Neurospora crassa OR74A: one gene and its partners. The protein of the gene in region 3 interacts with the protein of the main gene of each other region in a pairwise test. Links are inferred from orthologs where the notes say so. Each region holds a gene or a part of one and is shown on either strand. Other genes may lie near its edges.

Region 1 (4,306 bases), on a different chromosome or scaffold from region 3:
TTAACACAATATATCAACATATTGTACAGCTTCACAAGACATGGCGGGCACGAGGGCGTTATGCAAATTTTGTTCAGATATGTATGCCACTTACTATTGACCCTCCTCCCGGGCAGGCAAAAACTACCTGAACCAGATGTAGAAACAGATGGTATATATGAAGTTGAAACAAACAAAAGAAAACAGGAAGAAGGAAAAAAAGAGCCCAAAAAAAAGGCATCATGATATATAGCTAAAACGGACTGGTACAACATGCATGCTACTGTTCTTCCTTGTTCTTCTTCTGTTTCTTCTTCTTTCCTTGTATCCGCCTTCCGGATTCTATGTATCTTTTTCCTTATCCAAAACTCATGTCATGCCTTTCATTTCCTTTCCTTCCTCTTCTTTCCATGTTTCTCAACTTCCCATGCCCTAGCCCAAAGCCTACAGCCTATAGCTTAGAGCTTGGACTTGGGAGCCTCCAGAGTGGGGGTAAGGAGATCGCGGAGGTCGTTGGCGGCCTCGTTGAGGTAGTAGCTCATCCTGTCGGAGCCGAGGCCCTTGGAGACAATGTTAAAGTTGAGGCTGTTGAAAGTCTCACGTGTTAGCATTTTCATCTGATTGTCATGTATGCGGGAAAAGAAAGAGGTGGAGCAACTGACCTGTTCTCGTTGATCATATAAGCAATACCGAATCCCTGGTCAATAACCTGGCTCCATCCGTATCCGTTGAAGAACTCGGAGCTCAGCTGGGAAGTAGACAGGTACCACGAACTCGAGTATCCGTAGGCGGGATCCTGGTACAGAGCGGGGACCTCCTGGTTGGGCTCGAGCAGGCGCTTGAGGCCAAACAAGTGGCGGTCGACGCCCTTGCCGTCCGAGGCGGCCGAGATGTACTCGAGGTGGGAGTCAATGGCCTTGCGGAAGAGCTCGACCTTGGTCTTGTCGTCGACGCTCGCGTCGTTGGCGGCCTTGCAAAAGGCCACGCTGGCCTCGCTGACGGAGCGGCACGTCTCGGTGCGACCCTGCTGGAAGCGGCGGGTGGCGGCCGACTCGTAGGTCGGACGGTTCTTGCCGTACATCTTGTAGTAGGCCAGCTGGATGATCATCTGCACGTAGGCGTCGGGGGAGCACTTGAACTTCTTGATCAGACCCTTGCCGTAGCCCTGGAAGGCCTGCACCGCGAGCTGGTGCTGGCCGATGACGTTGCTGAAGTCAGTAATGGCCCGGTCGATCTCGGCCTGGACCTCCTTGGTGACGGTGAACTTGACGGCTTCGGGCTCGGGCAGGTTGGAGCGCACCGAGGGGTCGGAGAAGTCGAGCTTGTTGTTGAAAATGACGTCGTTGACAAAGTCGTTGAGGCGGTGAGTGGGCGTGCCGTCCATCATGCTGTGCTCGCCCATGAAACCCGAGGTGCCGTTGTCGTTGACGATGAACTGGAGAGGCTTGTCGTACCAGCGGTTCTGGCCGTCACCGTGCCAGTACTGGTGAGCGCGCTCCTCGAGGGTGACGGGGGCGGCATCGTCAAGGCAGACGACGAAGGAAGAAGCCTCAATGGCCTCGAGAGCCTTAGCATTCTTGGGGTCGGCGGAGAGGAGAGTAGCGCGGGCGTCGGTCCAGACGTCGCGGTTTTCGGAGGTGAGAGCACCGACAGCGGGAGCGCGCGAGGCAGCGAGCTCATAGACGCGCTTGAAGGCCTGCTCGAGCTCAGCGGTGTTGAGCTGCTTGCCGCCAACCTCATGGTAGATCTTGTAGAACTGGTTCTTGCGGATGGCGAGGATGTACTTGTGCTCGTCGGCGCTGAACTTGACGGGGTAATCGGCGGGCTTGGCAGCAACGCGGCTGGCGTTGAACATCCACTTGTAAGAGTCCATGCAGATGGGGAGCTTCTTCATGTACTCGGGCTCGAGAGTGCCCTGGTCGACCATCTTCTTAAACTCGAGAGCGGCGGTGGTGATGGCAGCAGCGCGCTTGGCAGGGTCGCGGCGGCGGCGGTCATCGCGGTGAGAGTAGAAGTAGCTGACGTAGGGGACAACGGGGTCGCGGTAGGAGAGGTAGGCCGCATCGTTCCACCACTCGTAGAGCCAGTTCTTGTGCTTGGGGTCTTCGCGACGGGCGACCAGCTTCTCCTGGAGCTTGCGACCAGGGCCATTGGGGGCAATGAAGGCGTCAATGGCCTTCTTACTGTTCTCGAGCTCCTGGGGACTGAGAAGGGGCTTCAAAGACTGGTAGTAGCGGGCAGCCGTCTCCTCGAGGGTAGGGACGGGAAGACGGGGGAGAGACTCCTGGAAGCGGAGCATGGGGCCTTTGGACTTGTCCTCGACATAGCCGGCGGGGAGGGAGCTGTTCTTCCTTGTTTGCGCCATGGCGGAGATTCTCTGAAGAAAGAAAGGTCGTCAGTCAGTCGCGTGCGCGCAGCAAGGAAGGGAAACCATCCATGACTTACAAGAGGGGTAATAGCAGCGGAGGTTGGTTGTCTAAAGAGGTGTCTAAGCGTAGTAGACCGAGCCTCAGATCGCACAATGGAAGCCAACATTACTCGATAACCACAGACAATGGTGGAGCTAAGAAGAAGAAGAGGAAGAATAATAACAAGCAGTGAAGACGGGAACGGGAAGCGGAAAAGGGAAAAAGAATAAAAAGAGAGAGCTGGGCAGTGAGGCAGACGCGGGAGGCGAGGCAAGTTATGAGGCAGACGTGGAGGCGGTGGGTTTGATGTACACCTTGAGGGGTGCTGCCGACTACGACTCGGTAGCTCGGAAGTCGGAACAAGTGGACACTTTTGGGCTTGTCTCGTGGATATTGTTTACTCGTGGAGGTGGCCCATGGGAGGCGGGCTATAGACAGACTACCCCCCTTCCCTATATCTAGACTACTTAACCGCTTAGGGCAAGGCTTCTCAGCTTTTCTCCGCCGTACAAAAAAAGAAAAGTTTTACAACAGGCCAAAGAAGTGTAGAATCCTCAGTCTTCGCCCGGGTAGGAAGATCTATTCTATAATAATCTACATTGAAGCTTTCGCTTAGTTGTAATCTGAGTTTGACCGGACTCGTTTTCTTTCTTTCTTTCCTCTTTTTTTCTTAATTTTTTTTTTGGGAGGGGGGGGGGGGAGAATGCATCTAATAAAAGTGCATTGCCCTGACAAGAGTGACAAGAGAAGTGACTAACTATTTCTTGGAGGAATTTGCGAAAATGACCGATCGTGAGCTAACAGACTTTCACCTGATTTTTGTAGTGGAATGTTAGCCATGAAAAAGATTGGTCAAATTCCTCAGAGCCATGCCCTAAGCGGTTAAGTAGTCTAGATATAGGGAAGGGGGGTAGTCTGTCTATAGCCCGGCTCGGCCCATGGGGGGATGGTTGTCGATGGAGACGGGCAAGACGGGGGGACCGGGGCACGGGAGACAAACCACCACCGACATGAAACCTTGACCGGACTTATTTGTAGGGTACCTTGAGGGTATGTATGTATGTATATCTCTGTAGGCCGAGGCTTTGTCTCCAAAACTGACAGAGATAGATCTCACCGGGCAATCCTACCCCAACTGAGAGCCAGTGTCAGGCTACGGTATCCTCCGCTCACCATGTCGTCGACCATGTCCCATCTGTTTCTTCAGATCAGATCCCATGATGGTGGTCCGTGATGCTTGCTGGTGCTCGATTCCGCGGTGGTGGTACCTGTCTGTTCTCATTCCATCCTATCTCCCTATGTACCCGTCTGTGTACCCGCTTCGCGGGGATCTTTCCGCCCGCACGTTCTTCTTCCCCATTCCCCCATCTCCCGTCTCTTTAGTTTCTCCAACTGCCCGTTGAACTGGGATTGGATTGGGAGGGAACAAAAAACGTGGGGCAGTTACACATTCCGTCGCTATCTATACTACGTACATAGGCCGCTGAGATGATATGAGAGGCCGAGCATACGCCGTAGACTACCGTGACTACGTAGGCGACAGCGGAGGTACAATGAGCAAAAAAAGTGGATGCGCTTGTCCGAGTGACCCACTGGCTGACCCCATTTACCCCTCGAGCCGAGGCTCAAAGTAGCCGACGGCAATGGCATTGACGATTGCCAAGAAACTCTCTCTCCAATTCAGGCCCAGTGAGCTTGAGTCCCGGCCCAGAACAGGAAAGAAAGCCAAGAGGGCCGCCAAACTTCAACCCCACGTTTTGCCGGTGGTGGTGGGTGGATGTCTTCCTCGCCAACTACATAGGTGAACCCAAACGAGTTTCAATCAGAGTTGATCTTCATCGGATTGGTGCGCATCACGAACACCAAAGCAAAGAAACTCATCCATATGTCCGGCTCGCAGAAGTAGAAGTGTGCCTCAC
Region 2 (4,041 bases), on a different chromosome or scaffold from region 3:
GGAGATTTGACCTTCATTCAGGGAGTCGAGGTTGGCGTTGGACGTGGTACTGGAGGAGTTACCGTCTTGGTCCTTATCCTTGGGCAAGATCCTCCGCACCCGAAACTCCCTTGCCACGCCAAGCGAAAGAGACCCGATGACGGCTCGCGGACCAAGATAAGTCAACTGGTCGCTGTGCCAGCCGACATTCTGTTCCGGGCCATCGTACAAATTCACAAACGCCGCATTGGGCGACCAACGGTCGGGGGACTGGTACTTGAGTTTTTTACCGCCGTACAGGTGATGAGTCCGGATGCGCTTCTGGATCTCGGTATTAACGGCGTCCTGCACCAACGGCCGCACTGTTTCCAGCTGAGGTGTCAGGCGGCGGATATCGGAGAGGCGCGCGCCGTTGTAGAAGTAGGCCGATTTTTGCTCGGCCAGCTCGTAATCGCTCCCGACAAAGAAGCAGGATGTGTGGGGGCTAGAGACTACGTTATCGAAGAGCTTGAACGTGGCTTTGCCGAAGGTCTTGGCTTCTTCCAAGAGTTCTACCAAGAGGCTGTTGGCGACCGAAGGGGGGAGGAAGTTGTGGATGACGGTGCAAGGGGTGTGGGTGCTGATGTCGGAGGGGTCGTAGAGATGGAGTGTTGCGCCTTTCCGGGAAAGGAGCTTGGGTTTCTTGGGGATAATACTAGCACCGCCATGGTCGCCATCGCCGGTGGTAGATGGAACGGCGAAAGAGCGTAAAGAAGCCTGTGAAATAATACCTGACGACTTCTTCTTGGCTATCTGCCCTGCGCCCTGGGCACTTTTCAAAGCCTCCGTGGTGGCTTCCACGGATCCATCGTGGGTGATTAGAAGATCCAGTAACGCATCATGACCGAAGTCTGGATGCAATGAAGCAAGTATGGCCAGTTTGATATCGGTTGATTCTCCATCGCCATCCGGAGTGTTGTCAATGGGATTATTGAAGGCGGTGATAGTCTGCTTTATTTGCGTGGTGTCCACGTTTTCCTCCAGCGTCAACTCGGCTTTCCTCTTCCCCCTCGTTATGAACCTGTCCATTGCCACGGCTTAGAGGAAGGAGTACAAAATCTCGACATGTTGGAGTGTCTGTTACCATGGCCGGGTTCACGCTGGTTAGATGCGCGTGGGATGAAAGATGAACATGGATTTGTATTTTCAGACGCGTCCTTGTTACGAAGAGGAAGGAGGGGGACGTGATTGAAAGTGGCCAAACACGCGCTGTCACGGGGACACGTCGGTACTTATTTCTAGTGTGCACTATATTTTACGTATCCTGGGGCGACGTCATGGGTAGGCGCTATCCCTTAGAGAGTTAGCGAGCACATCCATCCATGCTGTGGGGCTCACGCCGTTACGGCCCGGGGCTTCCACGCCCGCGGCAGGGGCAACGTGCCGACCAGATATGGATTGGATGCCAGGCGGGCTTCCGGGGTACCCCACTAATATCCAGATGTAAGCTGACAAGCCGAGGCTTTCCCCACGGCGTTGTCGCTGTTTGGCGTTCTTCAATTAGTTTCCAACCAGCTTTCCATCCCGTCACAGTAAGTTCTGCCAACACCTACACCCGACGCCCGTTTCAAACCCTACCGATACGTCCAAGCCGTCGCCGTCATTTCCAGGTGCAACGCCTCATCTCGCGACCGTCGCTGGCAGATTCATTAGGCTGTCAACCACTCACGTCGGCTAAGAGGTCGTGCGCCCATTGCAACGCCAACCTTTTTACAGAGACCTCCTGATGGGCAGCACATGACAAGCCCACGTTTCTCGACATGGCGTCCATGCTGGAATTTCGTACCCCGGGCTACAATCCTTACGCCGTCAAGTACTCCCCATACTACGACTCACGCCTTGCTGTCGCCACTGCCGCCAACTATGGCATCGTCGGCAACGGTCGCCTCTTCTGCCTGGGCCTGAGCGCAGCCGGCGTCCAGTGCGAAAAGACCTTTGAGACAAACGATGCCCAATACGATCTTGCCTGGTCGGAGCTCAACGAGAATCAGCTCATTGTCGCTTGCGGCGATGGCTCCATCAAGCTCTTCGACCTGGGGGTGGAGAACTTCCCTGTCATGAACTTTCACGAACACAAGCGGGAAACGTTTTCGGTTTGCTGGAATCCCGTCACCAAGGACAGCTTCATCTCGAGTTCCTGGGATGGCACCGTCAAAGTTGTATGTGCTCATCTCTTGTGTTCCTCCCACCCACCATCGTAGCATCATGGCCGATCGACTTGCGCGCTGGCTTACAATCCTCCTACTCTGTCTTCAGTGGTCTCCCACGCGCAACGCCTCCCTCAAGACCCTCCCCATTGGTTGCTGCACCTACAGCACCTCCTACTGCCCCTCGAACGCCGCCCTCGTCTCCGCCGTCTCCGCCGACTCTTCCCTGCGCATCTTCGACCTACGCACGCCCGTATCGGCCAAGTACCACCTGACCAACGTGATCCCCGTGCACGCGCCGGCCACGGGCGGGTCAGGTTACTCGCGCCTTGCCGACGGCTCCATCTACTCGGGCACGGTGCCGAACGAAGTCCTGACGCACGACTGGAACAAATATAACGACACGGTGATCGCCACGGCGGGCGTCGATCGCGTCATACGCACGTTTGATATCCGCAACCCGGCCGGCGGTCCCCTGGCGCTCATGACAGGCCACGAGTACGCGGTCCGCCGCGTTGCATGGAGCCCGCACGCCAGCGACATCTTGGTGAGCGCCAGCTACGACATGAGCGTGCGCGTGTGGACGGACGGATCCACTATGCCGCAGCACGTTCAGCCACCGGTACCGAGCGGGCGCCAGCCTGACACTGTCCGTGCGGGAACTCAGTTGGGCCTTATGAACAGGCATACTGAGTTTGTTACGGGCGTGGATTGGTGTTTGTTCGGTGCAGGCGGTTGGTGCGCGTCGGCCGGCTGGGACGAGAGAGTGCTACTCTGGGATGCTGCGTCCCTGTTGCGTGGATGAAGAAGCAGGTTGTTTGAAAGAGGTGGAAAAACGTATTTGAGTTGATTGGTCTTTGAGTGGATTGCTCAGGCAAATTTACGTGGCAAACTGCCTGATAGTAAAGGAGTAGAAGATATGAGGGCAAAATCAAGACCGATCGACTATCGGCTGCTGAGAATCATTGCATGCACAAAAGCGCCCCCTCAGTTGCGCAGCGATACCCCGGGGAGTTTGTACGTCTAGAAGCCGACATTATACGAACAGAACAGACATGGTGACAGCGGACAGGAGATTTGACCAAACGTGTTCCTTGGCTGGAGCTTACGAAAGTAGGAAATAAATCGGTACAGGAATTGGGTTAAATTGACCGTCCCGACGCGAGAGTCGGTCAGTACGAGAGAAGGGGCGGGAAAGAGACAGAACATAATTGTATAAGGCATCTAGAGGATTAGAAGAACAGTATACCATGATTCGAGATGATGGTAAGCTCAAATTTCTACCCTTAGTATCGCTATGCGTTGAGACGTGTGGTACCAGTGTATTAAAGGAATGCAGTCAACTTGAGTATACATATTTGTCCATGACTATCTCTCTTGAGTATTACCGATACAGCTGGTGTCTCACCATCCCAGTTTGTGCTGTAACATCCAATTTCTTCCATTTGGCTTGGATCTTCTCAATCTTATCTCTTGCACCCCTTCCACTTATAGAATTTCTCGAGGGGTTCCCCAATATGGCTACAGACTCAACATCCTCGGAAATTCACGTCCACTTTGGCTTTCCGCCTCCCTCCCTCCTAATCCCAATAGCCCTGATCAATGGTTCAAATAGTACCACGCCTACCACGCACAAGATCGAGTTCCACACCTGAATGGCATACCACACCCACGCTCCCGGACTCGAGAACACAAATTTGAGCCAGTCATTCACCTGGTAAAAGTCTTCCTGCTTGGTGATTAGGTACCGCTTGCTGTTGTTGCCTCCATTGAAACCGTCGACTAGAGTCTCTGCTTCCTCGCTTGCTCGAGCAGAAGCCACGGGGGCGTTCTCAACAGCAACAGGGTTGCTTGGGTTGGGCGGGTGAGCCATGGG
Region 3 (4,133 bases):
GGCAACATCCCCTACGAGACCACCGATGCCGAGCTGAACAACATCTTCGTCGGCATTGACGGTCTCAAGGACGTCCGCGTCGCCGTTGACCGTGCTACCGGCTGGCCCCGTGGCTTCGCCCACGCCGACTTCGTCGACGTTGAGGCTGCCGTCAACGCCTTGGAGAAGCTCCAGGGTACCCAGCTCGGCGAGAGGACCATCAAGATTGACTATGCTCAGCCCGCCGCTGCTCGTCAGCCCCGTGAGAACAACGGCGAACGCCGCGAGTACCGCCCCCGTCAGCAGCGTGATGGTCAGCGCGATGGTCAGCGCAGCTACAACCGCGACGGCGGTAACCGCAGCTACAACCGTGAGGGTGGCAACCGCAACTACAACCGTGATGGTGGCAACCGCAGCTACAACCGCGAGGGTGGCGACCGCAGCTACAACCGCGAGGGTGGCGACCGCAACTACAACCGCCGCGACCAGGGCGAGTCCACCGAGTTCTAAACTAACAAGCCGCAATCGAGGGCATGTAATGGTTACGACATGACTGGGTGAAGAGGATGGGAAACGGATGTAATGGAGGGCAAAACTGGGCAAGTTCGGTTTTCAAAAAAGAAAAGAGGCCGGTTGTGTTTCTTGACAAATGTTGCCAAAATTGGGGCACATTGGGATTGGGAAACTGTGGGATTGGTGTTGTGGCGCCTTTGCAGTACGATCACTCTGCGTACATCATCCTGACCTTTTGCTTGCAATGATACCTGTACAACTACGAAAAATCTTCTCTTCTTTCTTCTTACTGCGACTAGTTGTTTTCGTTTACCATTTTTTGTTGGTTATATCGCTGTACATATGTACGAATAGAGGGGTGGTCTTCTGTACCTTCTTTGCGTCCTGCATCCCGTATGCGTGACGTGACGATCTGCTCGAAACGCATCGTTTGATTGTTCATTTTCCCTTTCAACTTGCGTACATTGCCGTGCTGTCGGCATGCGAGTATGATTTCCGCACTCCGCTGTCGTCCGATTGTTCTCGGCTGTCGTTTGAAGGAACGAAGGGATCGATGATGGATCCGGGGGCGGGGGCGGGGGTGTACTCCACGGGCCGGGCTGGGGTTCGGCTCCATGTGAGGTGTGGTTGACAACACTCCATTGGCGGGGTTACCAGTAATAGCCGCGGCCAGGCAACAAGTGCCTGAGGTGTGGCCGGCAACTGCCACAGCCCAAAAAGACCTAACAAGAGCGCGGTGAGGTGGATATGATGGCTGGCTGAGGTGCCCTGGCTGCCTCGGCATTTCCAGCTGTTCAGGTGGCGCACGGCGGTGCCCCCCTTGTGCCCCTGAGTGACCTGAGCTTTTGGCGCCCAAGGTTCCAACTCACTTCAGATGCATGCAGAGCCCGATTTCTAACCACGCTGCTGCCATCCACACATGCCGGACCCAGACAACCCGCCCGTGCATCCGTGGGCTCCCGTCGTTACTTACAAGACAGCACACCTGCCACACATCCCGCGAGAGTCGGTCAACTTCTTTCTTTCACCTGGACAACTTCAGTTCTGGACACCGCCGCTTGATCACTAATTAATCAACTCCACGAGCTCACCACGCCCGTGCCTGGCTTGTTTGTTACTTCCACTTCTTTTTTTCTTTCCCTCTTCCAAACTAAAGTCATCCTTCCTTTGCCCTGCGCAAAAATCTACCTAGCTACCGCTACTTCCAGCCTGCCTCTACAACTTGCGCGGGCCGCTGCTTTCCCAACAGTCGACCGCATAGCGCTCTACTTCGTCTACCAGATAGTGTACAAGAGCCGCCCATCTTGTCTTCTGTCTTGGGCTTCGTTGTCAACTTTCGCCGAAACATCGCCATTGTCGCATTAATATCCAACATCTTCAAAATGTCTTTCATGGGTGGAGCCGAGTGTTCGACGGCGGGCAACCCGCTCAGTCAGTTTACCAAGCATGTTGGAGACGACAAGAGCCTCCAACATGACAGACTTGCCAACAGAGGTCCCAATGCTGCGGTTGGTGGCTTCCGGAGTATTAACCGCGGGCCTGGCCAAGATGAGGTAAGGAATCTTCATGGATATTGTTGACGGCAAGGCATGCGCTCTTGGCTGACATGACGATCCTCTCGAACAGATGGTGAACGGATTCCTAAACCAAACGCCGGAGATGGCTCATATGCCTCTCGAACAAGGACATATGCTTCACCTCGACCCGAGCCAAGGCGCCCACATGCGCGCCCCGAACGCCTCGCCAGCATGGGCTCAGGACTTCCACAACACACAGGCGGCTATGGAAGCCGCCTTCAATGCGCCGCCTGGCACTCAGTTCAGCGCCGATGAGTTTTCAAAGTTCCAGCAAATGCACCCCGCCGCGGCGCCGGCCACCGCCAGCCAGATGCCTGCTCAGCGCCCCATGATGGGTGGTGGCATGATGGGCATGGGCAACATGAACTACAACATGATGCAGCGACCCATGTACCAGCCCATGGTCGGCATGCACGGCCCTCAGATGCACAACATTCCCCAGCAACAACTACAGCCCGAGGGCAAGGGTAAGGGCAAAGTTGTTGAGCTCGACCAGAACAAGTGGGAAGAGCATTTTGCTCAGCTGGAGATCAATGGTGACGAGGCCCGCGCCATGGAGCCCGAGCTCAACAAGATGGACGAGGCGCTACTTCACTCCGAGACTGGTGCTGGCGATCTCGAATCCATCTGGCGCGGTATCCAGGCCGAAAGAGACGCCATGAAGGAGTTGGACGAGATTGATGTCCAGGACGACTTTGCCAAGTTCGACAGTGAGAACCTGGAAAAGGAAGATTGGACGCTGAACGGCAGGCTCGGCGCGGACCCTATCGTGCAAGAGTACCTCTTCGAGGAAGATAACCTCTTCAGGGAGACACCAAACCCATTCGAAGAGGGTATTCGTATCATGAAGGAGGGCGGGAACCTGTCGCTAGCTGCTCTGGCCTTCGAGGCTGCGGTCCAGAAGAACCCCGACCACACCGAGGCGTGGGTCTACCTCGGACAGACGCAAGCCCAGAACGAGAAGGAAGAAGCTGCCATCCGTGCTCTCGAGCGTGCCATGAAGCTCGACCCCAACAACCTCTCTGCTATGATGGGCCTAGCCGTCTCCTACACCAACGAGGGCTACGACAGCACCGCCTACCGCACGCTCGAGCGCTGGCTGTCGACCAAGTACCCCAGCGTCATCTCACCCAGTAACCTTTCCTCGGCCGCTGACATGGGCTTCACCGACCGCGCCCAGCTGCACGAGCGCGTCACCAACCTCTTCCTCGAGGCGGCCCGCCTCGCTCCCGATGGCGATCACATGGACCCCGACGTGCAGGTCGGCCTAGGCGTCCTGTTCTACGGCGCCGAGGACTACGACAAGGCCGTCGACTGCTTCCAGTCGGCGCTGCACTCGACCGAGCTCGGCACCTCCAACCAGCGCGAACAGATCCACCTGCTCTGGAACCGGCTGGGCGCCACTCTCGCCAACAGCGGCCGCTCCGAGGAGGCCATCGCCGCCTACGAAAAGGCCCTCGCCATTCACCCCAACTTTGTCCGCGCCCGCTACAACCTTGGCGTCTCGTGCATCAACATTGGCTGCCATGCTGAGGCCGCGGGTCACTTGCTCGCGGCGCTGGACATGCACAAGTCTGTAGAGAAGAGCGGACGCGAGAAGGCGCGCGAGCTGCTGGGCGGCAATGCGGGTGATAGCGACTCGCGTATCGATAACATGATGACGCAGAACAGGAGCACGACCCTTTACGACACTCTCCGTCGCGTGTTCACGCAGATGGGACGGAGGGATCTGGCGGAGAAGGTTACTACGGGCGTGGATCCCGAGATCTTCCGTGGTGAGTTTGATTTCTAGAGTGAGTCAGAGTTGGAGTTGAAAGAAGAGGCTCAGGAGTGGATGGTTGGGTATGACGCTATGGAGGATGTTTACTACGATGTTGATGTCGAAATGGAGAAGGCCTTGAAGGAGGAGCAGCAGTGGTGTGATGAGGACTTGGACGAGGGTTACTTGTCGAGTGAGGCGAGTACACTATGTTCGGATGATTATAGGGAGTTTTGGTGAATATACAAATATTAAGTACTGTACAAAGCGAATGTAGCTGGCTTGTCGGGGTTGTTAACAGCTTG

Evidence for each region.
Region 1: the proteins of pex5 (region 3) and NCU08002 interact in a two-hybrid assay, tested with the Saccharomyces cerevisiae proteins (2 studies listed by BioGRID). The link is inferred for Neurospora crassa OR74A from reciprocal best matches to the Saccharomyces cerevisiae genes PEX5 and CAT2.
Region 2: the proteins of pex5 (region 3) and pex7 interact in a two-hybrid assay, tested with the Saccharomyces cerevisiae proteins (2 studies listed by BioGRID). The link is inferred for Neurospora crassa OR74A from reciprocal best matches to the Saccharomyces cerevisiae genes PEX5 and PEX7.

Annotation. Positions count from the first base shown.
Region 1 is NC_026504.1:3,880,585-3,884,890, forward strand, and holds NCU08002 (carnitine acetyl transferase), read right to left. Parts: upstream 2,809-4,306; 5' UTR 2,515-2,808; coding exon 2,425-2,514; intron 2,357-2,424; coding exon 642-2,356; intron 565-641; coding exon 438-564; 3' UTR 54-437; downstream 1-53. UniProt on the Saccharomyces cerevisiae protein: Carnitine acetylase is specific for short chain fatty acids. Carnitine acetylase seems to affect the flux through the pyruvate dehydrogenase complex. It may be involved as well in the transport of acetyl-CoA into mitochondria.
Region 2 is NC_026504.1:2,328,745-2,332,785, forward strand, and holds pex7 (peroxisome biogenesis factor 7), read left to right. Parts: upstream 1-1,474; 5' UTR 1,475-1,778; coding exon 1,779-2,177; intron 2,178-2,274; coding exon 2,275-2,970; 3' UTR 2,971-3,533; downstream 3,534-4,041. Other genes in the region: NCU07663 (GRF zinc finger domain-containing protein), read right to left, coding at 1-1,047; NCU07661 (hypothetical protein), read right to left, coding at 3,712-4,041. UniProt on the Saccharomyces cerevisiae protein: Receptor required for the peroxisomal import of proteins containing a C-terminal PTS2-type peroxisomal targeting signal, such as 3-oxoacyl-CoA thiolase. Specifically binds to cargo proteins containing a PTS2 peroxisomal targeting signal in the cytosol.
Region 3 is NC_026501.1:8,571,319-8,575,451, reverse strand, and holds the start of pex5 (peroxisomal targeting signal receptor), read left to right. Parts: upstream 1-1,333; 5' UTR 1,334-1,874; coding exon 1,875-2,045; intron 2,046-2,118; coding exon 2,119-3,861; 3' UTR 3,862-4,133. Other genes in the region: NCU16466 (nucleic acid-binding protein), read left to right, coding at 1-489. UniProt on the Saccharomyces cerevisiae protein: Receptor that mediates peroxisomal import of proteins containing a C-terminal PTS1-type tripeptide peroxisomal targeting signal (SKL-type).